Arabidopsis thaliana: one gene and its partners. The protein of the gene in region 3 interacts with the protein of the main gene of each other region in a pairwise test. Each region holds a gene or a part of one and is shown on either strand. Other genes may lie near its edges.

What was found.
Region 1: the proteins of AT1G21790 (region 3) and AT4G33905 interact in a two-hybrid assay, tested with the Arabidopsis thaliana proteins (one large-scale study listed by BioGRID).
Region 2: the proteins of AT1G21790 (region 3) and POR C interact in a two-hybrid assay, tested with the Arabidopsis thaliana proteins (one large-scale study listed by BioGRID).
Region 4: the proteins of AT1G21790 (region 3) and NAC001 interact in a two-hybrid assay, tested with the Arabidopsis thaliana proteins (one large-scale study listed by BioGRID).

Annotation. Positions count from the first base shown.
Region 1 is NC_003075.7:16,251,362-16,259,327, reverse strand, and holds AT4G33905 (Peroxisomal membrane 22 kDa (Mpv17/PMP22) family protein), read left to right. Parts: upstream 1-3,567; 5' UTR 3,568-3,735; coding exon 3,736-4,077; intron 4,078-4,403; coding exon 4,404-4,632; intron 4,633-4,897; coding exon 4,898-5,022; intron 5,023-5,173; coding exon 5,174-5,263; 3' UTR 5,264-5,576; downstream 5,577-7,966. Other genes in the region: AT4G33910 (2-oxoglutarate (2OG) and Fe(II)-dependent oxygenase superfamily protein), read left to right, coding at 714-827, 928-1,050, 1,281-1,438, 1,521-1,623, 1,759-1,854, 1,924-1,989, 2,076-2,195, 2,299-2,385; AT4G33900 (Galactose oxidase/kelch repeat superfamily protein), read left to right, coding at 6,617-7,756.
Region 2 is NC_003070.9:904,029-912,051, forward strand, and holds POR C (protochlorophyllide oxidoreductase C), read left to right. Parts: upstream 1-3,494; 5' UTR 3,495-3,670; coding exon 3,671-3,727; intron 3,728-3,820; coding exon 3,821-3,919; intron 3,920-4,004; coding exon 4,005-4,542; intron 4,543-4,626; coding exon 4,627-4,982; intron 4,983-5,061; coding exon 5,062-5,217; 3' UTR 5,218-5,622; downstream 5,623-8,023. Other genes in the region: AT1G03620 (ELMO/CED-12 family protein), read right to left, coding at 291-392, 493-587, 700-747, 853-976, 1,091-1,145, 1,240-1,355, 1,469-1,537, 1,639-1,756 and 2 more; AT1G03650 (Acyl-CoA N-acyltransferases (NAT) superfamily protein), read right to left, coding at 6,221-6,453, 6,832-7,075; AT1G03660 (Ankyrin-repeat containing protein), read right to left, coding at 7,408-7,731.
Region 3 is NC_003070.9:7,650,123-7,657,863, forward strand, and holds AT1G21790 (TRAM, LAG1 and CLN8 (TLC) lipid-sensing domain containing protein), read left to right. Parts: upstream 1-3,965; 5' UTR 3,966-4,234; coding exon 4,235-4,493; intron 4,494-4,770; coding exon 4,771-5,048; intron 5,049-5,239; coding exon 5,240-5,569; 3' UTR 5,570-5,859; downstream 5,860-7,741. Other genes in the region: FBP7 (F-box protein 7), read left to right, coding at 1-194, 329-402, 497-550, 646-753, 842-900, 1,132-1,342, 1,432-1,491; AT1G21770 (Acyl-CoA N-acyltransferases (NAT) superfamily protein), read right to left, coding at 1,721-1,804, 1,876-2,127; AT1G21780 (BTB/POZ domain-containing protein), read left to right, coding at 2,354-2,466, 2,546-2,691, 2,932-3,047, 3,139-3,744; AT1G21810 (filament-like protein (DUF869)), read right to left, coding at 6,456-6,842, 6,929-7,741.
Region 4 is NC_003070.9:586-8,771, forward strand, and holds NAC001 (NAC domain containing protein 1), read left to right. Parts: upstream 1-3,045; 5' UTR 3,046-3,174; coding exon 3,175-3,328; intron 3,329-3,410; coding exon 3,411-3,691; intron 3,692-3,900; coding exon 3,901-4,020; intron 4,021-4,120; coding exon 4,121-4,510; intron 4,511-4,588; coding exon 4,589-4,741; intron 4,742-4,853; coding exon 4,854-5,045; 3' UTR 5,046-5,314; downstream 5,315-8,186. Other genes in the region: ARV1 family protein, read right to left, coding at 6,330-6,484, 6,572-6,647, 6,799-6,865, 6,979-7,064, 7,177-7,250, 7,357-7,402, 7,651-7,740, 7,832-7,879 and 1 more.

The DNA of each region.
Region 1 (7,966 bases), on a different chromosome or scaffold from region 3:
CTTGAACCTTCTTCTCGACACAAAGGCTACTTGAATCTTCTTCTTGCTTATTCTTTTCTAAACTCAAATCTCTATATGAAAATCATTTGTAGAATGGTTACACATTTTATTTGGTTATCAAAAAGAAGTTGCAAGAATATAGACTATTAGTTAAGAAAATAAACTCATTTGAAATTTCGTTGGATAATGTATTGATCTCGGCTTAAGACTCTCTAATTTGACTGTATATAATTAATAAATAATCATTCTTTACTTTTTAACCATAAACACAATTCAATGTTGGACTACATATCCACCTTACATTCTAAGATCGATTCCAAGTCATTATCGACAGCCTGAATGAAGCAAAACAACTCAAAAGAAGCCCACCTAATTCAAATCACAAAAACGTTCAAGTTCCATCGAACCAAAACTTAAACCACTCTACGCAACCAAACTTCAACCAAAAAAAAGGATAAATTCGGCGCATTTTTTTGTATTTGTTGACCAGTGAAGAAAATGACAAACTGGTCAACGAGATCTGATCATTAAACTATAAAACAATATATTTTAAAGTAAATAGAAATTTGTGGTGCTTCATTGGATCGACGAAAGGCGTCCCGATATTGAGGTTCGTTACGCCGGCGAAGATTTTCATCGGAAACTTATCTGATCGTTTACGCCGGCGAAGATTTCCATCGGAAACTTAATCTGATCGGAAGGAAGAAGGCTCGATGAAGAGCAGATTGAAGAGCTACAGGAGGAAGAAGCTAGGGTTAGCCACAGTTATCGTCTTCTGTTCTCTCTGTTTCCTCTTCGGTTTCTATGGCTCCACTCTACTTTCTCAGGTGTGGAAACTCTCTGATCTTTTACTCTGTACTCTTTAGATGTGATTGGAGTCTTTAGCTTGGTTTTGTGACTAATCGAGGGTTCTATGTTTGGGATCAGAATGTGCCTCGTGTTAAACCCAGGTTGAGAATGTTGGATATGGTTGAGAATGGGGAAGAAGAAGCTAGCTCGATGCCTCATGGTGTTACTGGAGAAGAATCTATTGGATCGATTCCTTTTCAGGTCTGATTTTGTTGCTAATTTTTTGACTTTTAAGATGTTTGGATTGGCAAATTAGGTGAAATCGATTAGTTAGGGCAAGATTGTGCATTTGATTATCTAATTGAACTTTGTTTTTTTGTTCATGTGTGGTGACCATGAGTGTGAGTGAGAGTATTGTGTTTTTTAGCAATTAGTCAACTAGTGAAATTTAGTACTTCATCTTTATGGATTATTTGGTTTAAAATTGGCAGGTACTTAGTTGGAGACCTAGGGCTATATATTTTCCGAATTTTGCAACTGCAGAACAATGCCAAGCTATTATTGAGAGAGCAAAGGTTAATCTGAAACCTTCTGCTTTGGCTCTCCGGAAAGGAGAAACTGCTGAGAACACTAAGGGCACTAGAACAAGGTCTTTCTTTCTTTCTAGTTTCATGTTTCGAACATTCATCAGTAGCCTCAGTGTTTTTGCCTGGTGTGTTGTTGTTATACAGCTCAGGAACTTTTATCAGTGCTTCAGAAGAGAGTACTGGTGCTCTGGATTTTGTTGAAAGGAAAATCGCAAGAGCTACGATGATCCCAAGGTCCCATGGAGAGGTATGATTCTCTACTTCCCAAATCTATGTGAATCGTAAAACTAAGGCATGTTGAAAGTGGCAAACGTAGGCTTGATGGCCTTTGGTTTAGTGCTTATCACCCCTTTAATTGTACGAGATTTGATGTTTTTGGCAGTCATTCAATATTTTACGGTATGAACTTGGCCAAAAGTATGATTCCCACTATGATGTTTTCAACCCAACAGAATATGGACCACAATCAAGCCAAAGGGTAAAATCCTTAAATCTGTCATATTTATAGCTTTCTTTAGAACCCGAGACCTCATTTGAATTTACGCAGATTGCCTCCTTCCTGTTGTACTTATCTGATGTTGAAGAAGGCGGTGAAACCATGTTCCCATTTGAGGTCAGTTTATAATATATTATTTGCTTACTTATTATACAGACCCTTTCGTTAGTTTTGATTCCATTTAAACGCTTTCTATTTAACAGAACGGTTCTAATATGGGCATCGGATACGATTACAAGCAATGTATTGGGTTGAAAGTAAAGCCTCGGAAAGGAGATGGTCTTCTTTTTTATTCCGTGTTTCCAAATGGAACGATTGATCAGGTAAACAAAGTTTGAACACATTTCATTTCTTCTCTTGACTCCTATTCCTTGGATTAGTTCATGCTAATAGGAGCTCTTTGCTGTGGTTCCAATGCTTCTGCAGACTTCGCTTCACGGGAGCTGCCCGGTGACCAAAGGAGAGAAATGGGTGGCAACCAAATGGATCAGAGACCAAGACCAGGAAGAATAAGTTAGGTTTTTTTCCATATATCTATCTCAGTCTCACAGCTTCTATCTTTTGACTAAAAATCTGCTGCTGGATCCCTCGTGTACAGTTCTTCGCTGAAACAGTGTAACTATTTAGCTTTCTTATAATGCGAATGATACAAAAATTAAAACCTGATAATGAAAACTTGGTTCGAAATATCATTTGAACAATAGAAGTTTCTTGTTGTTTGATATTTCAGTAAAAGAAATATAAGAACTTATAAGATTAACACAGAAGTGATGACAAGTGTGGATCGATTTGGGTGTTCTGATTACTTGGTATTGAGTATTTACTGCTCGTTTGAGTCCGTCAAGTCTCTTGTTAATTTGCAATGTGTACTAATTTTTTCCCTTATAACTTAACAAAATGTGTTGTATGATTGTATTTGTATCTATTAAATGGAAAATTATTTTGTCCATGTTATATATATAAAAAATGTATCTGAGCTTACACACCAGGGACCATCTTTTTATTCGAGTTTTTGTGGACACATGAGTCATGAGTGATACCGATAATAATTTTTGTTTTTTTTTGTGTGTGTGACATCATCTACGTTTAGTTTGGTTTAGAATCTTCGAAAAATTGCCGACAGAAAATAAGAGAATCTTCTCTTCCAATGATCTACGTTCTTTTTGACTAAATATATAAAAATAAAAGAGTTCATAAAAAGTGGCTAAAAGTCGGAACTTGGGACACGAACGCAACACGTGGCTTCTACTAAAGGTTAGCGTCACTGAATTAAGTTTTACGTGTCAGAAGTGATGACGTCGACACTAACCAATGTGAACAGGACGTGTAAACAACCCTAGAACACTACAGAACAGAAACAGTTTGGGGATGTTTGGTTTTTGAACCGTCCACCTTTGACGGTCACGCGCTCTTCAGCCTTCAGGCACTCTTTCCTCCGCCTAACATAGAAATTGGAAAGGTTATTTTCTCCAATAATTTGGCTTGGCTTTTGAGTTTATTGAGTGATTAGCTAATAATAAATAATAATCAATTTGTTGGCTTATATATAATCAATGTGCTAAGTAACACTATAGCTTTCACAAAAACTTCGGTTATTAGGAAAGATCTCGACAATTCTGTATCTAGAAAAGGCATGATTAATTAATTTATTAAGAACAAAACTAATTTATGAAGAACGATTGCAATGGTACGAGACGCGAGTAGAAAAACCTTTATACTCGCGAAATATACAAATTGTGTGTTTCATTATTTATTGGCATTTAAACTTTTTAAAAAAACAGAGCTCTGTTTCTTCTTCTCCACCGCCGTTATATATAAAACCCTTCCCTGAACCCCCAAAACTCTCGGAGCCATCACACGACAATGACCGGCGCATTGTTTAGAAACGCTGCTTCCGACGCCGCTCGGATCTTTCGATTACAGCGAGCAACGATGACGAATCCTTTTGGAAAGCTCGACCCTTTACCGATAGGAGGAAACATCCAGCGATTGCAGTCGAGGCCTTTTTATCGTACGCCTCAGTTTCTCGGGAAAGCAAAGGAAACAGGTGTCTCTGGTTTCTGTTCGTCTTCGTCTTCGTCTTCTTCGACGGTCTCTACAGCAGGATTCATCGGATGGTATTTGGGAATGGTGAAATCTCGGCCGGTTCTTACCAAATCCGTCACGTCCTCGCTTATTTACATAGCAGCCGATTTGTCTTCGCAGGTAATTTCAAAAATCTATCTCATTTTTGTTTTGTAAGCCTACAAATCAGATTTTAGATATTCTGTGATTATGTTCTTGTTGATTCAGTCCTAAGATTCCATTGTGTTTTCTAACAAATGGTAATAGTAGAAGTCACTGTATCTCCATTGTGCTTTAGAGATTTGAGATAGGACAAGAATTACTTCTAGATTAAGAAGTAATGATCGATTCTTAGTAATGTGGATGTAGTAGCGGGTTTTATGTGAATTGAGTTGTTATATTTGCTTACGTTTCTTTGTTCTTGTATTGTTGTTGACAAAAGTGTGACTTGTTTGATCTTTCAACAGACAATTCCACAAGCTTCAGTGGATTCTTATGACTTGGTAAGAACAGCAAGGATGGGAGGATATGGGTTATTAATCTTGGGTCCTACACTTCACTATTGGTTCAATCTCATGTCAAGTCTCTTCCCAAAACGAGATTTGATCACAACGTTTAAGAAAATGGCCATGGGACAGACAGTCTATGGGCCTGCCATGAATGTTGTTTTCTTCTCACTGAATGCAGCCCTACAGGGTAAGCTTTCAGCTGTACATGAAAAATAATCAACTGGTTCCTTTCTTATAGTCTATATATTCTTCTTTGAGCAACATATAAAAGTATGATTTTTCTGAAACTCTAGATCCTGTTGACCTTCAATCTTAAGGGTTGTTATAGAGCAGGTTGTTTGATGTTACATTCTTTCTCTAAATGGCGTTTGAAGAGAGGAGAATTGTTGTTAGAATTTGATCCTAAGCTATTCTTGATGACATCAAAGTCTGATTTTCAATTATTTTTTCAGGTGAAAATGGTTCAGAGATAGTTGCTAGATTGAAAAGGGACCTACTTCCCACAATGCTTAATGGTGTCATGTATTGGCCTTTGTGTGATTTTATTACTTTCAAGTTCTGCCCTGTTTATTTACAGGTATGTATGATTGATACCTACCACTTTATTTCCAACTTAGCTTCACTTTGGTTAACCTTTTGTTCAAGACAGATCATATATTTGCTGCATTCATTTTGTCTTATCGTGAGTTTTGGTTATCAACTGAAGTCTGGTTTCTTTTTGTCTGCAGCCACTTGTGAGCAACTCGTTTTCGTATCTATGGACAATCTACATAACTTATATGGCAAGCCGTGCGACGCCAACCGCCATTGAAATTTGAAAAAGCTCTCTGGGAAACTCTCTCAGTTTAGAAATGAAGAAATGAAGCCAAAAAACACTTTTACTAAAAGAAACAGGGCATTCTTCAACATTCTTTGTTTCCTCTCTCCAGATTTTAGGAGGATATAATGTAAGGAGTTTTGGGGAAAACTGTGCATTTGGACATGTCTTACACTCTTAGATTTAATTCAATTCTATGTTTAGTATTCCATGTAATATTTGAGTAAAATGGTGGTTCTTTAGCTTCGATCAACTTTTTGAGTCTTTACCAGGCAAAGGAAACTGTTGACACAAGTCTTTTATATTAATCCTTAGTTACATCAGTACGGTTAACAAAGACGGAAAATTTACACGAGACCAACGGAGTCAAACCAAATGCTATGTATGCTAAAATATGGTTTTTGTTCTCAATCTTATACGCGTCCCAGATTGGTAGGGTAGCAGGTAGCAGTGCGACAGCTTGTAACAAAAAAAATTGATATGCCAAATGTATTGTTTTCTCATAACAGTAAGTAAAATTTTAGAAATTTAGGGTCCTTTCTTGTACGTAGGTCCGCATATATATCTGTACCAGAAGAAAGAGCACACAAAGAACAAAACAAAACAATTTAGTAAAAAGGAATGATAAAAAAAAAAAGTAAATTCTTCTAGTTCTTTTTTTGAATATCAGTAAATTCTTCAAGTGAAGAGAATATACGTTTTGTTATAGAAAATTAGAAACTTACTATACTTCCAAACACGTTGAAAAACTCCCAATGAGATTAGGAATCTATATATAAACAATATAGACAAGAATAGTCGAGACAAAAAGAAGCTTATGCAAAAAACAATTTCTTACTTTTTTTTGTTTTGTTAAAAAAAGCAAGTTCTTACTTAATAAGCAACTGATGCAGCGCATCTTTGCTTTGTTCACGCCTTTGATGGGCCTCGTCGTGACCAAGCCTCTTTATTGTTTCTCATTCATGATTTAGTAGTTTATGGACTTTATTAAAGATGTGGGCTTTACGTGTTTGGCTTTTAACTTCTTTTTAGAATTAGGGTCTTTGTTTCTGATTCTTATTTAAAGAATCCTTACGTTGTAGAATAGATTAGTTTTGGATTATTGAATAAAGAGTTTTAAGAGAGCTTTCTATAAAGCCTAGAGAGGAGGACTCTCAACCCTAAGGGCTTGCAAAACCAAGTCGATATCACTACCGATCTCGACTTTATCTCTATTGCTTCTTCATCAAGTTTTGACGTTCTAAGCAAGATCCGTTTGTAAATCCGAGTTCTCCTAGAGATCTTGTGTTCTCGTCCGATATTTAGCTTCCGCTCTCTATCAACAACCGTAAGAGAAAAAAAGTGATCAACAACCATGGAATATGGAGAAGAACCCTCGATTAAAAGATTTCTAATGCTTCCTGATGATTTGGTATTTAACTGCTTAGCTCGCGTCTCAAGATTACATTATCCAACTCTCTCATTAGTCTCCAAAAAATTTCGCTTTCTTCTTGCTTCAAAGGAGCTTTACCAAACCCGAATCCTCTTAGGCGGAACGGAGAGTTGTCTTTACGTGTGCGTACGACTCCATACCGATTCTGAACAACTACATTGGTTCATTATCTACCAGGGACCAAATAGCTCCAAAAAAGTTTTGGTCCCGATTTCATCTCCCAATTTTACTTCCGCAGCCCTGCCGGGTTTTGTAGTGGTCGGTCATGAGATATATGCCATTGGCGGTGGATCAGAGAATAAAAACGCTTCGATAAATGCAACTGGATCAAAGACTTATAACGCTTTGTCTAGCGTTATGGTTATGGACTCTCGTTCTCACACATGGCGTGAAGCTCCAAGCATGCGGGTGGCCCGTGTGTTTCCATCTGCTTGTACCCTCGATGGGAGAATATATGTTACGGGAGGCTGCGAAAATCTCAATTCAATGAATTGGATGGAGATTTTTGATACGAAGACTCAAACTTGGGAGTTTTTACAGATCCCTAGCGAGGAGGTATGCAAAGGCTCTGAGTACTTAAGCATAAGTTATCAAAGAACCGTCTATGTAGGGTCTAGGGAAAAAGATGTCACTTACAAGATGCATAAAGGTAAATGGAGAGGGGCAGACATATGCCTGAATCATGGATGGAGTCTGGATCCATCATCTTGTTGTGTGATAGAGAACGTGTTCTACCGTTGCAGTCTTGGGGATGTACGTTGGTATGACCTCAAGAAAAGAGAATGGGCAGCTTTGAAGGGTTTGGAAGGACTGCCTACTTTTACTAATTATTATAGAAATTTTAAATCGGCGGATCATTGTGGAAAATTGGCGATTTCTTGGGAGGAGTATGTGTTAGTTGATGACGAAACAAAGATTTGGTGTGCGGAAATTGCGATTCAAAAACGCCAAAATGGAGAAATTTGGGGAACGCTTGAGTGGTTTGACAATGTGTTTATATCCAGTGGACCAAACCGTCATGTGGATTTATTAGTGAATGCTCTTACTGCAACAGTTTGGTGAATTGAATCAATCACCCATGCATTTTTTTAAATAAGTTGATCGTTTGTCTTCGAGGCATTTGGACATGTCTCATAGTATGATTATGTCTTGCGCTTTTTGTTTTAAGCTTTTTACTTCAGTTTGGGTTTTAACATTCCAATGTAATATTTAGTGACTTTGACCAGACAAATGAAATATTCACACGAATCTTTTCAAGAAGCCTTTTTTGCT
Region 2 (8,023 bases), 6.7 Mb from region 3:
AGAACCGACAAAATATTTCATAATTCATATAATACGAGGGAGACAAGAGAGTTGATTTTTCAAAGTACAAAAGTCACAAAGTCCACTACCAGTTCATAATTTCCACACCATCATCATCATGTTACCAAACAGTGATGCATCATATAGAACATACGTTCATTATCATTCATTTTCTATTTATGTGTTTTGGCTTCATTGATTATCATTTTCATTTCGGTCATAAATTCAGGTTAATGTACAAAACATAAAAATCGAAATCAAACTAAGAAAATAACAAAAGAAAAAAAAATCTATTGGAACAAGAGATTGTAGGCAGGAAGATCTTGAATCCGATGAATATCATCCAAAGAAAGCTCTCTCTCCAGCTGATTCCGAGTTGCTTGTAATACTTCCTGATAAACACACACAGATATATACAATTATTAAGAACTAATTCTCAAAAAAAAAAAAAAATGAAAAGAGAAAGTTGATAGATTGAGTGAGAAGAGATACATTGAATTCCATGTAAGAAGCGTGCATTGCAAGCCATTGAGCATCCATCATCGCGAAAGCTATACAGTATAGTACATCGAATGCCCTCTCGTCTTCTGTTAATCATTGGAATATGATTCTTGATTATTTAGCGATCGTCATACTACACTACTAACTTTTAGAAAGAAGGTTTTATTCAGTTTAAAAGAACATATTCCTATTGTTTACCTTCTAAGAGTTTGAGGAAATTCATTCCTGGAAGACATTTTGGCTTTGCTGCACAAAAAACAAAACATGAATTTAAAGCCTTTTAGAATCGAAATCGTATGTGAAAATAACAAGTATGACCTGAATAAAATGGTGACAGTTTAAGAAACTTACGATTATTTTGTAAATCGAGCATTTGGATCAACATGAAGGAGATGTTGATTCCGGCCACTGCAAAAGGGTACTCCCACTTTGCCCGGTCGCCTCTTTGTTTTAACAATAGCCTCCGGAAACAAACCTTCACAATTTTTATTTGTATAAACACATTATTTTGTGGAGCAAAGAAGTTCCCAAACCATGATTATTAAAAAAAGTTTAAGTATATATGAACATGTATTTACGAGTAATTTACCGGATAAGTTCTTGCAGAAAATAGTAAATTTTCTAGAGCGATAAATCCGCAACCCCTACAAAACAAATGTTTAACAAAACAGGCGTCAACACTAAGTATTTTTCCTTAAGATCTTTTTTGCAATAAGTTAAGTATAGATCAAATCTTACCTGAAATCGGTAGATGGATTGGGACCTTGCCATCCCATTTCTTTCCATTGTTCTGTTACTAAACCCGTGAGATGAACATTCGGAAACGCGACGTTCCACAATGCTTTAAGTGATTCCTGCCATTAATCACGCAAATATATTTCACAGAATTCTTATAGCTAAAACAATATATCTGCATGTTGTTTGCTCACTGCGTTAAACATCTTACTGATAAAGTGAATTCACCTACCTGATGATCAGGACGTGTCTCGTCGAAAGGTACAACCATACGATCTTGCAGCCTTTGAAGTCTTTCCTCCTATGTATGATTGATTTACACAGATCCAAAAGTGTTACAAACTATTTATAATGTCTTGATTTCATTTTATGAAGATATATGAAACTTGTGATTATGCTAACCTGAAGAGGAGACAAAGTGTAGTCGACTGCCTTGTCTTGACGTCTATTGGAGCGTGTGAAGAGCCCTCCTATCCATGATCTTGTTCCAACCATACCCGTAGCTGTAACCACTGGTTCACTAATAGAAAATTATATTCATATATGAGATAATAGATCTAAATTATGTATCTAATAAACTAATCACATGCATATTTCTATGGTGTGTCATTTATACCCTATGATATATCTAGCAATATATACTCACTAAAACAAATATTTAGCCAAATGAGCTATTACGTGAGCGGAACTACTTGACCGCTGCCATCGCGGCTCTTTGTTGCCTTTTTCTCGCCTTTCCCACGCTTCATCCTCCTCTACCTGCAAACGTTTTCAGACATATGTTTGCGTATAACATTAGCTGCAGAACATAAAAAAAAAAAAAGATCAACTCTGAAGATCAGAAAGTTTGAGTGAGCTTAATTCACTTACAAGTTACAACCAAAACGACACTCAATTACGGTACATTGAAGATTAAAGAAACGGGTGGAATACACAAGAACAATGTATATGCAAGATTGCAGTGGTGTCGTTGATTACTCTCAATTTGATGATAAGATTCAAATTTGATATGAGTTTGGAGAAGAAGAAGATGACGAAGAGATCATTACTTGGCGATGAGACGAACAAGCAGGAAAGTATTGCCTACGCTTCCTGAACTTCATGAGATGGACACAAATGTTCAAAGAATAGAAGATAACTAATATTGATATCTTTTAAACTAAGAGAACAAAGATGTCAAAACCGACATAAATGCATGGAAAGAAAGAATTTAGGTATAATAATCCTACATCCAAGTTATCTAGTCATCAAAACAGAGATTAGTTAATGATTTTGCAAAAGCTAAGACTTCTCTGTAGAGAATTGGACAGAAAGAAAGAGGAGGAAGATTTTTATACAGAGCTAAGTTGATCACAGATAAGTTTTAGTGTTTTATTTGGTTGCGTACAGGTCAGAGCTTATTAATTTTTAAAAATAGAAAAAGCATTGCGTGACTATTTTAACACGTTTAACTAAACTAGACAGAATTGTGGGTTGTTCTGTATAAATTTTGTATTTGTATTTTTATTTACTCCTTTGAGTTAATTTAGAGAATGACAAGAAGATGATAGAATCAAAATGACTAAATATAAATGAGCTAAAGTTCTAATTCGATTTCTAAATATTCAAAAGTTCCATCATCATTTCCATTTTCACTTAGTCAAATTTTGGTATAATTGGGCTCAAAAAGGTTTCTCTAAAAGTTGTAGCTAACATAATAGCGCAATTAAAGGATGTTTTCTTTTCATAACTTTTATGTAAAGTTTAAAACTTTACAATGAAATTACCCTTGAAAATATAATTAGCAAACAATGATGATCAAATCAAATTTCACAAGCAAAAATCGTTATGATTGATTAAAAAGATGAGGGGGGAAAAAGTTACCTGTTATAGGCATATGAACAAGACAATGGAGGAGGAGGAGGAGATGGTCTAGAAACCGTGACGACGGAGGAGGAAAAGAAAAGAGATGAAGTAGAAGAAGAAAATAAAATAAAATAGAGGCAAAAATGGAAATTTTCATTGGAATTTTGCAACTTTTAGAAATTGTAGAAGATGAAGAGAGCTGTGTGATCCAAAAGTGTTTTTTTTTCTCTCTCTTTTTTCGTTTTTGTTTTCTTTCTCCCACCTCTCCATTGACCGTTAAGTTGCCGCCTTCTTCTCTCTTCCACCAAATTGTTCTTGACACATTTGGACGGTCCAGATTCATTACAGTTCACCTATCAACGGTGATCAGATCAGTTGAGAGTTAACAAAACAATATTAAAGCCCATCTCAAGGCCCAATAAACGAGAGATGAAGAATCTGAAACTAGTGATCTGATTGGTTGAGGGAAAAAGCTGTAGCCTGGAAGACACGTGTCACTAACCCAAAACTACCTTATCTTCTGTCGCTCCTCAATTCGGGGAAAATCGAAGACACTGTGACACTCTAGCACCTTCAGTTCCGTACAACAATGGCTCTCCAAGCTGCCTATTCTCTTCTTCCTTCTACCATTTCAATCCAAAAAGAGGTATGTTTTCACCATTAGTAATGATTTCCATCTTGTTATGATTTGTTTTCGATAAAATGAAGAATTTACCTCAATGCAATGGTGATTTTGCAGGGCAAATTCAATGCTTCTCTAAAGGAGACGACTTTTACTGGTTCTTCATTTTCAAACCATCTTAGAGCTGAAAAGATATCCACCCTGTTGACCATCAAGGTAAAGTCAATCACCCTATACGATGTGAAATTCTCAAAAAAAGATATCGAAAACGTCCTGAGGTTTATACTCTGTTTCGTTGCAGGAACAGAGAAGACAGAAACCGCGATTTTCCACCGGTATTCGTGCACAGACAGTTACAGCCACGCCGCCGGCAAACGAAGCATCGCCGGAGCAAAAGAAGACTGAGAGAAAAGGCACTGCAGTGATCACTGGAGCTTCGTCTGGTTTAGGTTTAGCTACGGCCAAAGCTTTAGCAGACACAGGGAAATGGCATGTGATCATGGCTTGCAGGAACTTTCTCAAGGCCGAGAAGGCAGCGAGATCTGTTGGAATGTCCAAGGAAGATTACACAGTGATGCATCTTGATCTTGCTTCGCTTGAAAGCGTGAAGCAATTCGTTGAAAATTTCCGGAGAACAGAACAACCACTCGATGTTCTTGTCTGCAATGCCGCGGTTTACCAACCAACTGCTAAAGAGCCTTCTTTTACAGCTGAAGGCTTTGAGATAAGCGTTGGAACCAACCATCTCGGTCACTTTCTTCTCTCAAGATTGCTTCTTGATGACCTGAAAAAATCTGATTATCCATCAAAACGTATGATCATCGTAGGATCTATAACAGGTAAATAACACAGACAACTTGTCCATTTCCACCAAGATAGTTCCTAGTATCAAACAATGAATGTTCTTTTCTATGTTCTTGCAGGAAACACAAATACTTTGGCTGGGAATGTACCGCCAAAGGCAAACCTTGGAGACCTAAGAGGCTTAGCGTCAGGATTGAATGGGCAAAACAGTTCAATGATAGATGGAGGAGAGTTTGATGGAGCAAAGGCTTACAAAGACAGCAAAGTATGCAATATGCTGACAATGCAGGAGCTTCACAGACGTTACCACGAGGAAACAGGAGTCACGTTTGCTTCTCTTTACCCTGGTTGCATCGCTACAACAGGGTTGTTCAGAGAACACATACCGCTGTTTCGGCTTCTTTTTCCGCCTTTTCAAAAGTATATCACCAAAGGTTACGTATCTGAAGAGGAAGCTGGCAAAAGACTAGCACAGGTCAGTTTGCATTGCAAATCCTTTCTAATATATGTATAACAGATTATTGATTGATACTGAGGATGTGGTTTTGTTTTAGGTTGTGAGTGACCCTAGTCTTGGGAAGTCAGGAGTGTATTGGAGTTGGAACAATAACTCGTCTTCGTTTGAGAATCAGCTTTCTAAAGAAGCAAGTGATGCGGAGAAGGCAAAGAAACTGTGGGAGGTTAGCGAGAAGCTTGTTGGTTTGGCATGAACTCAAGATTTTTGATATGCAAATTCATATAGATTACTATGTTTTGTGACATGTACAATAAGTATGATCAATCAGACTAATCATTCGAATGCATTTCAATAGAGTTAATCATCGAATTCGAATCTGAAGACACTTACAATTAGACTGATGATTCGTAGATTGCTCCATAGTTGAGATGGGGACATGAATCGTTACTGTTGTTGAGACACGACCAACGAACTGCATCGTAATCCCGAGTAAAATTTAACCGATAAGAGTCTTCGGTCTTAGAGAATCTAACATCTTTCTTCTCTCTTCGAGAATTACCCGATGATCGGAATTACAAAACGGTTAACACCGGCGAGAATTGGTGGGATATCATGTCGTGGATCTTTTCTAGTGTGCCTTTTCTCTAACACGTCGTCGTTTTGCCTCATTCTTTAACAGATGTCGTTTAAAATTAATTTAAAGTACAAAAGAATGCGGTTTGGTGGATTATGTCGTGGATCTTTTCATAATGGGCCTTTCTTACGACCTAATTTTTTAACACGATGTCGTTTAAATCGATTAAAAGGTTTTAGAAAAATGCGGTGAGCGTGGATCGAACACGCGACCTTCAGATCTTCAGTCTGACGCTCTCCCAACTGAGCTATCCCCGCTTGGGATTATTTGATAAAATATTACATTATAATACTTACAAAAACGTTTCAAAACACTATCAAATGCCATTTCTCATTTTGGTCGACCATCGATGATAAGATTAAAAATCTTCTATTATGAAATCTTACACCACTTCCTAACATGAAAACGATTAAAAATCTCATTCTATATTGTGAAGAAGTTGATAAGTTGATGGTCCCAAGATGATTTCATCTTGCATCGTAAAATATCAAAAACTCGCTAGACATATGTAATATGTTGATGTAGAGAAGTAATCAATGAATGTGTACAAGGCATATCAAGCCCAAGCCAAGATATGGGAATACATATATAACCCCAAATCCAATGATTCAATCCTTTTGGGCTAAATAGAGTCATCAAAATCTAGGTACATTCTGTAAGCATCTCTATCAGCCGAGTAGTAGCTTTTCACTAGACAGTCTACTTGGAACCCAAGCTTTTTGTACAGATTCACCGCAGAAGTTCTCGTGGGGTCGACATGAAGTGAAACCCGTTGCACCTTTCTGCTTCTGCACTTGTCGATAGCCGCTCTCAACAATGCTTCTCCATGACCTTGTCTTCTGCAATTCTCCTTCACTACATGATTCCAAAACAACAGAAGAAAGTAAACTTGGGATACATTCTTCCTAATGTTTTTGCTCTTAACTTGCCTAATAAGAAAAATTCCATACGTGTTCTTGACTTATGAGCTATCTCCATTAATCTTTAAGCATGCAAAACCAAAGCTAGAACAAGGGCTTTGTCTAGTCAGAATTTCTATTGAAAGCTCTCGAATTTACCAGAATCATTGGTCCTTGACTATATAATAATCTACAGGTTAATTTATCAAATGGTTGAAAGATTTTTCAGTAGAAGTTTGGCAGAATAATTCCACTTCTTCTCTAACGAAATTATATTTTCTGAATTTTATCACTGAGTAATTTCATCGAACAGTTGGCGGACGTTTGTCTATACCTGCGAGCTTGGTGATTGAAGCGGAAAGCGAAGATGGCCAAGAATACATGGCATAGCCTACTGTGTCTCCTTCAGCATCCACGTATAGCAAACCGGCGTTTTTCTTACGCAGCTCTGCATCGAAAGTTTGAGCGAGAGATTCGTGTTTAGGGAACGTTTTCTTCTCCAGCTTCACGATATCTTCCACAACTTTGGCCCAACTGGTCGACCCTCTAATCAGCTCTACCACAACTCCTTTGTCCATTGTACAAAAGATTCGATTTTGTGGAATCTCTCGTTGGTTTCGCAGCCGGTGAGAGCGAGTGAGCCAAGGAAATTGTGATTTGATTTTGATGAAGGTGCGTAGCGACGGCGGGGACGACTTTTAGAAACTATTTGAAATTGTGATTTGACCCACAAATTTAACTTTTGTGACAATTTAGTCCCCAGAAACAGAGGAACTGTATCAGAGACCACACCAAATTAAAAGACAACATATTTGATCAATCACTGTGAACGAACTTATGAAAGATTGCAGATAGAAACAATCAAGAGCTTGAATGTGTAATGGAAAATGTTCACAAACCTACATACACATCACTTATGTGCTTTGGAGCTAAAGACATGGAAGGAATGCCATGGAAGGAGCATCAATACAAGACAAACTCCAAATGCAAATGCAACAACCATAGACCAAAAAGCAAACATGATAAGTACCATGGCTCGTTTCATAGCTTGCTGTATCAGAGGAATATCACCCAGATGTTGTGGCCAAATAAGATTCATTGTAGCTATGACAGACAAGAGCACTGGAATGCTATTGCAAACCAGAAAAACTATGAACACTGCTTTCTTGACCAAACCTGTGATGCCTAAATCTGGAGCAGAACTGGTGTAGATCTTTGTAAATGTGAAACCCATAACAAATGTCACAACTGCTACAATTGTTGTACCACCATAAGCAATAAGATACGTTCTTGTAGTTTAGATATTCTGGGACGCTGTGAAGCACTCAAGAGAATTGGTTGTGTACCATTTGGTGAACTAGCAGATCCCAAAGCCATATCCAAGCTTATTATATCTCTGAAAGATTGAATTAAACGAGACATGATGATAGGACTTCACAAAAACATGTTTTAAAAAGCAGATTCAGAAATTTTATCATAAACTTACTCTCTTTTTCCAATTGAAACCCAAAAAGAATAGTTAGAAC
Region 3 (7,741 bases):
TTATGACTTAGGTAGAGCATCTTGTGTTTGTAGAAAGTGGAGGTACACAGTTCGAAACCCTATGTTCTGGCGTAATGCCTGCTTGAAAGCTTGGCAGACTGCTGGGGTTATCGAAAACTATAAGATCTTGCAGTCTAAATATGATGGATCATGGAGGAAAATGTGGCTTCTTAGATCCAGAGTTCGTACTGATGGTAATCTTTCTTTCTTCATCCTCTTGCTTCACGACATTCTAGCGCCAAGTGATTGTTTTCTTTTGTATGCTCTGACTAACATCGTGTCTTGTTATATCTTTATTGATTAAAGTAACTATGTATCTTCTTCTCAGGTCTTTATGTGAGTAGGAATACTTACATTCGAGCTGGAATTGCTGAGTGGAAGATTACAAATCCAGTTCACATTGTAAAGTCTTTGTCTTTTTCTTTCTTTTCTTCTTCATCTGTCCAATACAGACACATATAATAATCTGCGTCTTCTTTTGGAAAATTTGTTGCAGGTTTGTTACTACCGCTACATAAGGTTCTACCCTTCTGGCAGATTTCTTTACAAGGTTTGCACTCTTCGATATAAGTAGGTATAAACGTTGAGCTACTGGTGGGATCTAGTCTGATAATGATCCATCCGTATTTGTTGTTATTCCTTCAGAACTCTTCACAGAAATTGAAGGATGTTGCCAAGTACATGAACTTTAAGGCTTCTAAATCTGAAAATCTTTACAAAGGCACTTATACACTGTCAATGTCGGATGATAAGGTTAGCTCCCTCTACTGCCTTTTGGCTGGTAATCAACAACATTACATCTTCATAATCCTGATTACTGAAAAACATGTTCTTTTTGCAGATCGAAGCAGCTGTTCTGTACCCAGGGACACGCCCTACTGTCTTAAGGATTCGTTTAAGGTACTTCAATCCCTCAAAATATGTGGATAGAGAAGACTTCTTTTTAGTAATAGCATTTAGAACCTTGGTCTGGCATTGGGAAGAAGGCCTGTTACTTATCTTTTAAAGTACCGTGTCTAGTACATTCATCTAAGACTTATCTGATCCGGTGAATGTGATGGGGTTGAAATTTTTAGTAGCTGATAGTCATTTTGATCTTCTTGGTGTGGATATGTTTTCGGGTGTGGTTAGGTTAAGAGGAACAGCTATTGGAGCGAATAACAGGATGGATTTGCTGTCACTTGTGACAAGTGGTGTGAACGATGAGGAAATAAGCAGCACAGAAGAAGACATTCTTGGGTTAGTTGAAGGTTGGGAAGACGATGAAACTCACAACCCGGATATACCTGCCGTCTCACACAAGAGGGGTATGACTGCATTCGTCTTCGTTCCTTTCGAAGAGGTAAGTAAACTATAAATTATTGTATACTCTTCCCACCTATAATCTTAGTTACATTGATTTGATCTGAATATCTTCCTTGATGTTATTAGGTTGACGAATCGGTTCTGAACTTGCCACCGGAGAAAATGGATTACTATGTCACTGGCTAAAGAGACACATCGAAGTTTCTGTACAAAAATGTATCATAGAATAATGTTTTCACGTTATATTTATTGTTACGACAAACATTAGTGTTTGTTTGTTGCTGTCGAATTGTGAAAAACATACATTTTGGGATTTTTGTTTGTTTACAGAGATTACTTGAAACAAGCTTTACTATTGTAAGATAATGTTTTCAAGTTTTTATTATACACCAAAAGGCTTTAAAGCAGGACTTGATCAGATGCTAGACTTGAGGTTCTTGGAATCATCCTCTGAGTGAACCAGACGCTGCCACGTTGGGTTTCGATGAAGAAACGTTTCCTGCAAAACACGACATATTTTCATAAGAATCTGATTCATCTCAATTTTTTGAGGAAAGAAGAGATGTATACGGAAACGTAGGAGCAAGTGGGGATGATGGAGAAAGAGTGTTCAGAGGCGTGTTCGAAAGCGGCGACGCATAGATGCGAAGCTAAACCAAGTCCTGCTTTTGACGGCGGTACGAAGGTTCGAACCAGATCCATGACTTTACCGTCATTCTTCATCTTGTACTCTATGAAGGCTTCGTGATCATCAGTCTCGAATCTATGTCTTCCTTCGTTCCACACGATCTTCGGTTTCTCCGTCGCCGTCCCCGTCGCCATTTTATCTGTTATCTCTCTAAGTCTAAGTCCACTCTCTTTCATTTCAAACCGAGAATTGATTTTAATATATCGTTAGTAAACCGGTTTAATGGATAAAAACGTATAATCGTCGTACACGTGGCAGGCGATGGAGGCGGCAGAGTGTTTTGCTTGCTTCGTCGTGTTATTTGGCGTGAAGTAAAGAGTTCAGAGAGAAAAGGAAGTCAAAACTTCAGAGAGAAAGTGGATGGGGGACACGAAGGTAGAGACAATCTCGAGGTTAGCTCAATGGAGAATTGAAAATTTTGGTCCTTGTTCTTTCAAAAAGTCCGATCCTTTCAAAGTCGGAATTTGGAATTGGTAAGCTTTTCATTTTTGGTTTATTTTGGTAAATTTTCTTCGGAATTTTGATTTTTGTTTGTTTTGGGATATGATGAAGGCATCTGTCTATAGAGAGGAATCGCTATCTATCAGTGAGGCTATTCCCAGAACTTTCTCGAGTATCTAAAGAGCAACCTCCTGTTGCCAAATTTGTTCTTCGTGTCTCCAACGTTGGCCCCAATCGTAGATTCTACATCTCTCCTGGTATGTCTTGTCTTTGAATTGACTTTTCTGGATTTGGAATTTGAATTCTATTGTCGAGCTCGAATTAGGTATTTCAGGAAAGGGAATTACCTTTTATGTGGGAACTATATTCAATTATGTGGAATCTGAAAGATATTAATTTAGATGTTAATGATTGGCTGATGATTAGTAGTACCTTATGGGATGGTTACAACTGAATTAGGTTTGTTTAAGCTGAGATACTCTGTTTATTTGGTGCAGTTTATGAGAAGCTGCTGCGTACAACTGATGATTGTGTGTGGCATGTTGACTCCAGTTTCCACGGTCGATTCACCATTGATGTTGAGTTTCTTGATCTCAAAATCTGCCCTGTGAATGTAAGCTTAATGATTCTATTTATACTCTCACAATTTCTTCTCTTTGTAACATTTGTACTTCCATGGTTGATCAAATCAAATCATAATCCAGGGTGGTGAAGCTTCTCCTGTTTGGCCAACCGATGCAACAATGCAATCAATCTCTACTCAAACCACTCTCAAATGCTTATCCCGGATGCTAGAGGAAAGCATACTAACCGATGTAATCATCCACACAGCCGATGGAACACTCTCTGCTCACAAAGCTATCCTCTCAGCTAGCTCAACTGTTTTCAAAAGCATGTTCCACCACGACCTCATGGAAAAGGAATCATCCACAATCCACATAGACGACATGTCGAGAGAATCTTGCATGGCTCTACTAAGTTACCTCTACGGAAACATAACCCAAGAAGAGTTCTGGAAACACAGGCTCGCCCTCCTCGGCGCTGCAAACAAGTACGACATAACGGATTTGAAAGCAGCCTGCGAGGAGAGCCTAATGGAAGATATAAACTCGAGTAATGTGCTCGAGAGGCTACAAGAAGCTTGGCTTTATCAGCTGGAGAAACTGAAGAAAGGGTGTTTGATGTATTTGTTTGATTTCGGAAAGATTTATGATGTCAGAGAAGAAATCAGCAGTTTCTTCAGGCAAGCTGATCGAGAACTGATGCTGGAGATGTTTCAAGAGGTTTTGTCTGTGTGGAAACCGGTCTAATATACACTTACACACATACTTTGAACATTTCAGCTTGATGGTGTTTTGTTTATAGTCTTCTTGTTCTCTTCTGTGTGTGTAACTAACAACAACTCTGGATTTTGTTGTATCACTCTGTCTAATGTATAGTATTGAGTGGATTTGCCTCTAGTTTGGTGTACCGAGCCTCTCAAATGGGCCGAGCCTTTCAAATGGGCTGTGACTAGGCCTAATGACTGTCGACATCGAATGTCGGCACAAAATATGATAATTTTGTCGATGTTGAAATCGTACGTTTTTTGTTTTAATTAGATGAGTCAGCATCAGGAGGATGAAGTATCGACCGACACGTGTCCGTTGCGTCCCAAAGTAAAGCTTATAACGTGAAGGCATTTGTATCGTCTCTTCCGCCAAAATTGGAAATGGATATCGAAGTTTGAGCTAAGAATCCAATTTAGGGTTAACTTTGCCGGATTCTCAAGCAATCTCCGAGAGAGACAGTGAGGTTTCGATGGCGAGGAACGGGATTGGGAGTTCAGGAGGGAAGAAGAATGGGGCTGGGCAGTTTTTCTTAGCGACGCTGCTTCTTTGGCTTGTCTCCGTCGTGTTTGAGATTGCTTTCAATCTCCGGACGGAGCTTCTCTGGGTGATTTGCGGTGGATGCTTCTTTCAATTGATGAATTGGGTTGTTCGTTCATGGATTTCTCGTGACCCTATATTTGTTAATACCTCTGTCTCGCTTTTGCACTCAATCATCACCTCCGCATCAGGTCCCTTTCTCTCTTCTCTTATATTTGAGTTCTTACTATAGGATTGTGCTCTGTTAGTGGGGAAATTTTATCATAGGTGTGCACATTGGTCGTTGGTATTAGTCAATTTTCCTTTGGTGCTGTGTTTTCACGGTTTCATTGCTTAATGTGATTCTTATTTCCGATTGGATTAGTCTTATGATTGATTGCCATAGCTTGAGTATAATGCAGTTCTTTCTTCGTTAAGCCTTACTGATTATGATTTTTCATCTTCAACACTGCTCTTGTGTTACTACAGTGGTTTTCATACTTCTCAATCAATGCTTAGCCAAAGGTTTAGACGAGATGTTTGATCATTCTGAGTTGGTTGGTGGGACTTGGAAATGGGCATATCCAGCTTTGTGTTTCTCATGCGGCTACTTTGCATATGACCAGTGGGATATGCTTCAGTACCGGTTATACAGCGGCTTAATACCTTCTATTCTTGTTCACCATCTAGTCCTCCTTGTTTGCTTCACATTGGCACTATACCGAAATGTAACCATCAACTACCTTATTCTTACTCTCATCTGTGAGGTACGTTCCACTTTTTTCTTCCTGAAAACTTGCCCTGGCTTTTCTCTGTTCTTTACCGAATCTATGCTAACATTCTCTAGTTAAACTAGACTAGTTTCATATATAACAATCTAGTTAGATATAGACTCAACTCTACAACATCTACTTGTTCGAACAAAAGTGACACCTCTGTTATTCGGATGTGTAAACAGATGCATTCGATCTTTCTACACGTGAGGAAGCTAAGGAGAATGGCAGGAATCCGAGACAGCAACACAGCATTGGTGAAACTGGAGTGGGTATTAAACTGGACAGCCTTTGTGTTTGCGAGATGCATTCCTCACATTCTCATCACTATCAAGCTGATCAAAGACGCACACAAGTTTGGGAAAGGCGTGGAGTTACCACTCGCTCTGTCTGGTATGGCAGGAATGAACATTCTTAATGTTGGCCTCGGGTTGGATCTGTTTCATGCTTTCAGAAGAGAGAGAAGCCACAGAAGAAACCAAGAGAACGGCAACCTTCACGACCATGGAGAATAATAGCTAATTTAGAGGCAATCCATTACCGAATCTATGGTTTGTTGTTGTATGAATACTACCCACTCATCTCTTGTTTATATCTGAGGCTTTGCTACTAAGTTCTAATAGCTTTCAGATTTGTATGTATCTCTCTATAGGAAAACTACATGTAAATGTTATTTCTTGATGATTACAGTCAACAGACTTTTTTTCTTCTTGTGTTTGGGGAAACGGAACCAAATTAGAATTTTGGTTTGATCTTTGGTTGTGATTTATATATCATAATCATTATATAAAAGTTAATCTTAATGAACTTTGGTTTATTCAGTTAAATTTTGGTATAATCTTTTCAATCTATTAGGAAAGTTTGTTTAGTGTTGAGTTGATGAAGTTTGGTCCGGTTCAGTTTCCACCAATGTTTGGAAGAAAAAAAAATGCAAGAGCATGAGAGGTCCTACCGGGAGTCGAACCCAGGTCGCTGGATTCAAAGTCCAGAGTGCTAACCACTACACCATAGAACCTCAGGTGCTTGTTCTGTTGCATGTACCAGTTTAGAATCTAATCCAAAATATTGTATTTTAGACACGACCAATGAATAGATTCAACATCAGCAGTTCAGCAGCACCACAGATTGCAGTTTTCTTTGTCTTTATCTAACCAAACAAAACAAAAATCAATATTTTACTTGGTGACAATGCATCATATGAGACCATCAAACTGGTGACAGTGAAATAACAAAGATGAATCTCACAAGACATAAACGTTAAGAAGATTACACTATGTAGCAAAAGAAACAAGGGTGATCTTTTTGCTACTAACAAGTCAGAATCTGAAAATTATGGTAAGAAATCCAGCTTAACAACAGATTGATTCTAGCTATACTCCAAGAACGAACCTATTGCTTCTCCTAAATCCCCAAATTTACTGAGTTTCTACTTCGAGTGAAAACCGTGGCAAATCCGTTGCGATTCTTCTCAGAACTCCCTCGGTTTGATGACATAATTAATGACACTGTTGTTGAGTCCGAAGAAGATGAACAAGGAGGTGAGGTCTTGTTATTGCTGTTCTGGATTGCAAGAAACTCAAGTGATCTTCCATTGATTGTTTTGATGCACTCATGAGGATCTTTTCCTAACAAAGCTTCCTTGTTGTGAACTGACCTTGCAGAACCTGGAATGCTAGCTGTATCGATCAAGAATTCTTCTAGTGTTGCAAGAGATTGTAGCTGTTTCCCAAGTGATGCTATTGTTTTCTGACAATCTGCAAATTTTCCTGCAGCTGTTGCTATGTCTTCCTGCAATAGAATCAGCTTTTAGTGAAACAAGGATTAAGAAAAAGAAAAAAAGACTAATTGGTGATCAGAAAAATAAAAAGCTATACCTGTTTGATCTTTGGTTCCACTTTTTCTCTCTTGATCATTGTCTTCTCTTCTATCTCTCTTCTAAGCTCTTCTTCAAATGTCTCACACTTTTCCTTTAGCCCATCAGAGACAATCCTCTCCTTTCTCACCTCTGCTTCCATTCTGGTCACCCGAGATTCGGCTTGTGTTTTCGATTCATTAGCTAGTTTAAGCTCCCTTTTCATCGCTTCCAACTTCATCTCAACTTCTTGAAAACAAACTCTAGATTCTTGATATTGATCTTTAATTACGTCAAAAGATATCTTTAGCTCAGCTTTCTCAGCTTCCATCTTCTCCAACTCATCTTCCATCTCAATTTTGTCACCAACTACAGCTTCGAGTTCTAAGCTGAATCTCTTCTCTGCTTCTTTACAACAAATAACTTCACTGTCAAGCTCATCCTTTTCTGCTTGTAGCTTCTCCAACTTTGTGTCAACTTCTTGAAAACAAACTCTTGACTCTTGATATTTATCTTTGAGCACGTCAAAAGATGTCTTTAGCTCAGCTTTCTCAGCTTCCACCCTCTTTAACATATCTTCCAACTCCATTTTGTCACCAACAACTGCTTCAATCTCTAAGCTCAATCTCTTTTCCGCTTCTCTACAACATTTAACTTCTCTTTCAAGATCATCCTTTTCTGCTTGTATCTTCTCCAACTTCTCCATTAAGCTCAATTCATATCCATCCTTGGAGTTTTTAGCCTGTGTCTCAGTAGGAAGAGCCACAAGACGTTCCATCTCAAGGAAATCATCCATGAGATCAATTTCAGTTGATGAAGTAGTGCCCTGAAGACT
Region 4 (8,186 bases), 7.7 Mb from region 3:
TTATCCTTAGCCAAAAGGATTGGTGGTTTGAAGACACATCATATCAAAAAAGCTATCGCCTCGACGATGCTCTATTTCTATCCTTGTAGCACACATTTTGGCACTCAAAAAAGTATTTTTAGATGTTTGTTTTGCTTCTTTGAAGTAGTTTCTCTTTGCAAAATTCCTCTTTTTTTAGAGTGATTTGGATGATTCAAGACTTCTCGGTACTGCAAAGTTCTTCCGCCTGATTAATTATCCATTTTACCTTTGTCGTAGATATTAGGTAATCTGTAAGTCAACTCATATACAACTCATAATTTAAAATAAAATTATGATCGACACACGTTTACACATAAAATCTGTAAATCAACTCATATACCCGTTATTCCCACAATCATATGCTTTCTAAAAGCAAAAGTATATGTCAACAATTGGTTATAAATTATTAGAAGTTTTCCACTTATGACTTAAGAACTTGTGAAGCAGAAAGTGGCAACACCCCCCACCTCCCCCCCCCCCCCCCACCCCCCAAATTGAGAAGTCAATTTTATATAATTTAATCAAATAAATAAGTTTATGGTTAAGAGTTTTTTACTCTCTTTATTTTTCTTTTTCTTTTTGAGACATACTGAAAAAAGTTGTAATTATTAATGATAGTTCTGTGATTCCTCCATGAATCACATCTGCTTGATTTTTCTTTCATAAATTTATAAGTAATACATTCTTATAAAATGGTCAGAGAAACACCAAAGATCCCGAGATTTCTTCTCACTTACTTTTTTTCTATCTATCTAGATTATATAAATGAGATGTTGAATTAGAGGAACCTTTGATTCAATGATCATAGAAAAATTAGGTAAAGAGTCAGTGTCGTTATGTTATGGAAGATGTGAATGAAGTTTGACTTCTCATTGTATATGAGTAAAATCTTTTCTTACAAGGGAAGTCCCCAATTGGTCAACATGTGAAAGCACGTGTCATGTTCTTACTTTTGTTTGGGTAATCTTCTAATTACTGTATATGGAAGATGTGAATGAAGTTTTGGTCCTGAATGTGGCCAAGGTTCCGTCATTTGGAGATACGAAATCAAATCTCCTTTAAGATTTTGTTTTTATAATGTGTTCTTCCATCCACATCTATCTCCATATGATATGGACCATATCATACATCATCATTTGTCCAAATGCATGAATGAATTTGGAAATAGGTACGAGAATGCCAACAATGACAAGAAGGGATCAAAGACAGTTTTTAAAACAATATTTTACAGGGTTTTAATCTAATTCTAAGTTTTGGTCACTCACTTTGTTAAAAGAATAATTCAGTGTCTGGACACTAAAATCTTCCAAAAACCCCATATACATATATGCTATTTCGATACTTATATTTATTTACTCAGCATAAAAAATATTAACCATGTATTCATAGTAAAATGTTTCATGTGATATCAAACCAGCGACAACAAAAGTATTATTCCCCTCATTATGTTTGACTCCTATTATATTTTTATTTTAATTTTTTTCACTATCATCTTTCTTGCAATGAAAGTCCCATATATTGGTCAACATTTCAAACCACTTGTTCTCTTTTATGTTTTGGTAAGAGCTATCTTCTAAATTTATAATACGCATAAATTCAAAAGTAAAAGAAAATTTTGGTCATGAATGTTGTTTAAGTCATTTGGAGATACGAAATCAAATCTCCTTGTAGATTTTGTTTTTAGAATGTCGTTCCTTTTTCATCATCTTAGCTATATCTACAGCTATATATCCTATCTTTAAACCTATATTATTTTTTCCTCTCTTCACCAAAGCCATGTTTTTTAGTTGTGGCGAAAAATAAGAAATCCATACATCAACATATCGCTTTCGTTACCTTAAATTTTGGCTTGTTATGAAGGCATGTCATAACGTTTCTAGTCACAACTCACAAGCATACCAACGACCATGATAAATCCAAAAAGTAGAAACAATCTATTATCTAAACCCCCAAAAGACAAAAGAAAAAAGTAGAAAGAAAAGGTAGGCAGAGATATAATGCTGGTTTTATTTGTTTGTTAAAAGATATTGCTATTTCTGCCAATATTAAAACTTCACTTAGGAAGACTTGAACCTACCACACGTTAGTGACTAATGAGAGCCACTAGATAATTGCATGCATCCCACACTAGTACTAATTTTCTAGGGATATTAGAGTTTTCTAATCACCTACTTCCTACTATGTGTATGTTATCTACTGGCGTGGATGCTTTTAAAGATGTTACGTTATTATTTTGTTCGGTTTGGAAAACGGCTCAATCGTTATGAGTTCGTAAGACACATACATTGTTCCATGATAAAATGCAACCCCACGAACCATTTGCGACAAGCAAAACAACATGGTCAAAATTAAAAGCTAACAATTAGCCAGCGATTCAAAAAGTCAACCTTCTAGATGGATTTAACAACATATCGATAGGATTCAAGATTAAAAATAAGCACACTCTTATTAATGTTAAAAAACGAATGAGATGAAAATATTTGGCGTGTTCACACACATAATCTAGAAGACAGATTCGAGTTGCTCTCCTTTGTTTTGCTTTGGGAGGGACCCATTATTACCGCCCAGCAGCTTCCCAGCCTTCCTTTATAAGGCTTAATTTATATTTATTTAAATTTTATATGTTCTTCTATTATAATACTAAAAGGGGAATACAAATTTCTACAGAGGATGATATTCAATCCACGGTTCACCCAAACCGATTTTATAAAATTTATTATTAAATCTTTTTTAATTGTTAAATTGGTTTAAATCTGAACTCTGTTTACTTACATTGATTAAAATTCTAAACCATCATAAGTAAAAAATAATATGATTAAGACTAATAAATCTTAATAGTTAATACTACTCGGTTTACTACATGAAATTTCATACCATCAATTGTTTTAATAATCTTTAAAATTGTTAGGACCGGTAAAACCATACCAATTAAACCGGAGATCCATATTAATTTAATTAAGAAAATAAAAATAAAAGGAATAAATTGTCTTATTTAAACGCTGACTTCACTGTCTTCCTCCCTCCAAATTATTAGATATACCAAACCAGAGAAAACAAATACATAATCGGAGAAATACAGATTACAGAGAGCGAGAGAGATCGACGGCGAAGCTCTTTACCCGGAAACCATTGAAATCGGACGGTTTAGTGAAAATGGAGGATCAAGTTGGGTTTGGGTTCCGTCCGAACGACGAGGAGCTCGTTGGTCACTATCTCCGTAACAAAATCGAAGGAAACACTAGCCGCGACGTTGAAGTAGCCATCAGCGAGGTCAACATCTGTAGCTACGATCCTTGGAACTTGCGCTGTAAGTTCCGAATTTTCTGAATTTCATTTGCAAGTAATCGATTTAGGTTTTTGATTTTAGGGTTTTTTTTTGTTTTGAACAGTCCAGTCAAAGTACAAATCGAGAGATGCTATGTGGTACTTCTTCTCTCGTAGAGAAAACAACAAAGGGAATCGACAGAGCAGGACAACGGTTTCTGGTAAATGGAAGCTTACCGGAGAATCTGTTGAGGTCAAGGACCAGTGGGGATTTTGTAGTGAGGGCTTTCGTGGTAAGATTGGTCATAAAAGGGTTTTGGTGTTCCTCGATGGAAGATACCCTGACAAAACCAAATCTGATTGGGTTATCCACGAGTTCCACTACGACCTCTTACCAGAACATCAGGTTTTCTTCTATTCATATATATATATATATATATATGTGGATATATATATATGTGGTTTCTGCTGATTCATAGTTAGAATTTGAGTTATGCAAATTAGAAACTATGTAATGTAACTCTATTTAGGTTCAGCAGCTATTTTAGGCTTAGCTTACTCTCACCAATGTTTTATACTGATGAACTTATGTGCTTACCTCCGGAAATTTTACAGAGGACATATGTCATCTGCAGACTTGAGTACAAGGGTGATGATGCGGACATTCTATCTGCTTATGCAATAGATCCCACTCCCGCTTTTGTCCCCAATATGACTAGTAGTGCAGGTTCTGTGGTGAGTCTTTCTCCATATACACTTAGCTTTGAGTAGGCAGATCAAAAAAGAGCTTGTGTCTACTGATTTGATGTTTTCCTAAACTGTTGATTCGTTTCAGGTCAACCAATCACGTCAACGAAATTCAGGATCTTACAACACTTACTCTGAGTATGATTCAGCAAATCATGGCCAGCAGTTTAATGAAAACTCTAACATTATGCAGCAGCAACCACTTCAAGGATCATTCAACCCTCTCCTTGAGTATGATTTTGCAAATCACGGCGGTCAGTGGCTGAGTGACTATATCGACCTGCAACAGCAAGTTCCTTACTTGGCACCTTATGAAAATGAGTCGGAGATGATTTGGAAGCATGTGATTGAAGAAAATTTTGAGTTTTTGGTAGATGAAAGGACATCTATGCAACAGCATTACAGTGATCACCGGCCCAAAAAACCTGTGTCTGGGGTTTTGCCTGATGATAGCAGTGATACTGAAACTGGATCAATGGTAAGCTTTTTTTACTCATATATAATCACAACCTATATCGCTTCTATATCTCACACGCTGAATTTTGGCTTTTAACAGATTTTCGAAGACACTTCGAGCTCCACTGATAGTGTTGGTAGTTCAGATGAACCGGGCCATACTCGTATAGATGATATTCCATCATTGAACATTATTGAGCCTTTGCACAATTATAAGGCACAAGAGCAACCAAAGCAGCAGAGCAAAGAAAAGGTTTAACACTCTCACTGAGAAACATGACTTTGATACGAAATCTGAATCAACATTTCATCAAAAAGATTTAGTCAAATGACCTCTAAATTATGAGCTATGGGTCTGCTTTCAGGTGATAAGTTCGCAGAAAAGCGAATGCGAGTGGAAAATGGCTGAAGACTCGATCAAGATACCTCCATCCACCAACACGGTGAAGCAGAGCTGGATTGTTTTGGAGAATGCACAGTGGAACTATCTCAAGAACATGATCATTGGTGTCTTGTTGTTCATCTCCGTCATTAGTTGGATCATTCTTGTTGGTTAAGAGGTCAAATCGGATTCTTGCTCAAAATTTGTATTTCTTAGAATGTGTGTTTTTTTTTGTTTTTTTTTCTTTGCTCTGTTTTCTCGCTCCGGAAAAGTTTGAAGTTATATTTTATTAGTATGTAAAGAAGAGAAAAAGGGGGAAAGAAGAGAGAAGAAAAATGCAGAAAATCATATATATGAATTGGAAAAAAGTATATGTAATAATAATTAGTGCATCGTTTTGTGGTGTAGTTTATATAAATAAAGTGATATATAGTCTTGTATAAGAAAGGGATTTTACATGAGACCCAAATATGAGTAAAGGGTGTTGGCTCAAAGATTCATTTAGCAACCAAAGTTGCATTTGCAAGGAAATGAAAAGGTGTTAACAATGTCACTGCGTAACATGACTTCGATACAAAATCTCAAACAATACATCTTCAACTGTGGATTATGATGGACTTGGGGTTGCAGGTGATATGTCTATAGAAAAACGGGTGGGAATGGAAAATGGCTGAAGAAGAAAGCTCCAACTAAGCATCATAACTGGATTGTTTTAGAGGAGATGAGTCAAAGGAATTCACAGTGGAACTATCTCAAGAACATGATCATTGGCTTCTTATTGTTCATCTCCATCATTGGCTGGATCATTCTGGTTCAAGAGGTCAAATTATATATACATAACGGATCTAAGAAGTATAGTGTAGTCAATTAAAACAAAACGAGACTTGAAAATAAGCATAAGTATTATTAAGTTAACCCAATATTCGTTTCAATGCTTTAGTTATCATCAGAATTCTCAACATTTTCAGATATTTAACTTGCCTTTGGTTGCTTTCTCGCCATGGTAGTAGCATTCTCCGGATAAGAATCAAGGGGAGCCTCAACTTCGGCTTCAACCGTCTCCTCGTCTTTCCTATGACATTCACTTGGTGTTGCAACAATGTGTTGATGCCCCACATTCATAGGAGAGTCCCACATATCTCCAACATTCATAGGAGGGTTCCACATATGCCCACCATTCCAAGGAGGGTACCACCACATATGCCCAGCATTCCAAGAAAGATGGAGCGACGATATCGTGAGGAACAAGGTTTTTGTAGGGCAAATAATTGTAGGTGGTTGAGTTATATCCGCCCGCACAGAGTAACAGACCAACAATTAACTTTTGATATTTTAGTAAGGTCTAATTCAATTTTTGGTGGCGATAATATTTGGCTTAGTCATAAAATACAGTATGGTATAATAATGTAAAGGTTTCTCTTATCTTCAAACCAAAAGACTATACTGGAAGCTGATGGGATCATACGATTCTGAAAAAATAAGACATATATTGCAACAGAGATCCAATTTGTATCAAAAATATTGTCGGCTCAAAAATCTGACCCACCAAGAATCTAATCAAGTGCGCGATTAAGCATACGGCTATGCATCTGGTCATTGTTGATTCAGTCATCACTGGTTTAAAGACAAACTTGCATTGTGAGATTCCAAAATAACAACAACAAAAAACAATTTGCATTGAGAACATTTTGAAGGTCTGACCTTTAAGAGCCATGGAGTTTGATGTTAAGAGAAGTATATCGACAAAAAAAATCACTGACATTGGGAATTCCCATACCTGTAATAACAAAGATTCTCTATTTTTGAGCAAAGAGACATAACACCATGTTTAATCAATACAAGAAACTTTAGTGCATGATTTATGGAATGCTTAAGAAGTTTGGAACTTCAATATTAGGAATTAAGTGAGAGGTAAAGCTACAACATACCAACATCGCAAGCAGAAATATCTTGAAGTAACTAGAGATGAATATCCCCAACATAATCTCTCTTCTTCTGCAAAGTTTTTAAAAAAAATTATACATAAACAATCTTCAGGTGACAGAAGTCTGAGATCTTTGATGAAAAACTCATAATAAGAACTAAGAAGAAGAAGAATCAGTAATCACCTGGAAACTTCATTTAGCAAACCCTTAGTCGCAATGGCAAAAGAGATGATAAATGCAGCGTTTGCAGATAAGACACCAATCAGAACCTGTTTCAAATGCGAAATTATTACCCTTTCTAAACAATCTCAATGACTTAAATCATTTAAACCTTAAAGGAAAAAAAATCTAATTAAGTCCATTAAAAAGAAACGATCTAACCTTTATAGATAGAAGAACAGGGCTATCAGAAAAGCTCGATTCTTCATCACTTTTTCTCAGTAGCAAGCTTCTATCTATGATGAGTTCAGGGCTTTTCAAATAAGTTTGCCGATGAATCTCACCAACTACACATCTGCTAGCTACACTTTGATAGTAAAAGATTATAAAACAAAAGGATACAACAGTCTAGAAGAAGATAGGCGAAGACCAACTTCCACAACAGATGCTGCACACACACACACAAAAAAAAAAAAAGAACCCAACAATTCTTATTGGATCAGAGACTACTCAATATCCCCAAACTTGGAAATTAGTTTGTTGCTTGAGGTCTAAGATACTTCTATATATGGAAAAAGATTTTCAAAGCCAGATATTTCCACAAGTTTGTAATATCAATTCAAGATAAGAGAGCTAGAATCAGACAGGAACTAGCAATGCTTGAAATCAAGAACTTGAATTGAAATAGTTTTTTACCTGAATATTGACAGTTGCTGGATTAATTGCATTGTAGAGGACGTGTCTATATACCTTTGGTCTGTGAAGGATTAAATCGATGAAAATAATCTGCCAAAGAAAACAATTAAAGAACCAAAAACCAAAATTGGAAAGAAATAGGGAAACACCCAAAAAGGGAAAGAAAGTGATTAAAACAGACCATGCGTTCACACTCGATGTACTCATCTGCTACTTCCTTGCAATTTCCCTAAATATAACAATATGATCAAAGATGGAAACTTTGAAGAAATTTAATAGAGAATCTTATAAACCCTAATTGGGTCAAAGAAGATCCATTAATACAAAAATCTTACGCATTTCATGAGACGAATGTTACCCGGAGAGTATTGAATGAACAATGACTTTACCCTAAAACCACATCCCACGCATCTGTGTTCACTCGCCGCCATTGCTCTCTCTCTCTCTCTCTCTCTCTCTCTCTCAAGAGAAGAAGAATACGGAGCAATTAGAGTCCGGGTCTGGGCTACTGTTTTAACCCTAAATGGGCTTATTCA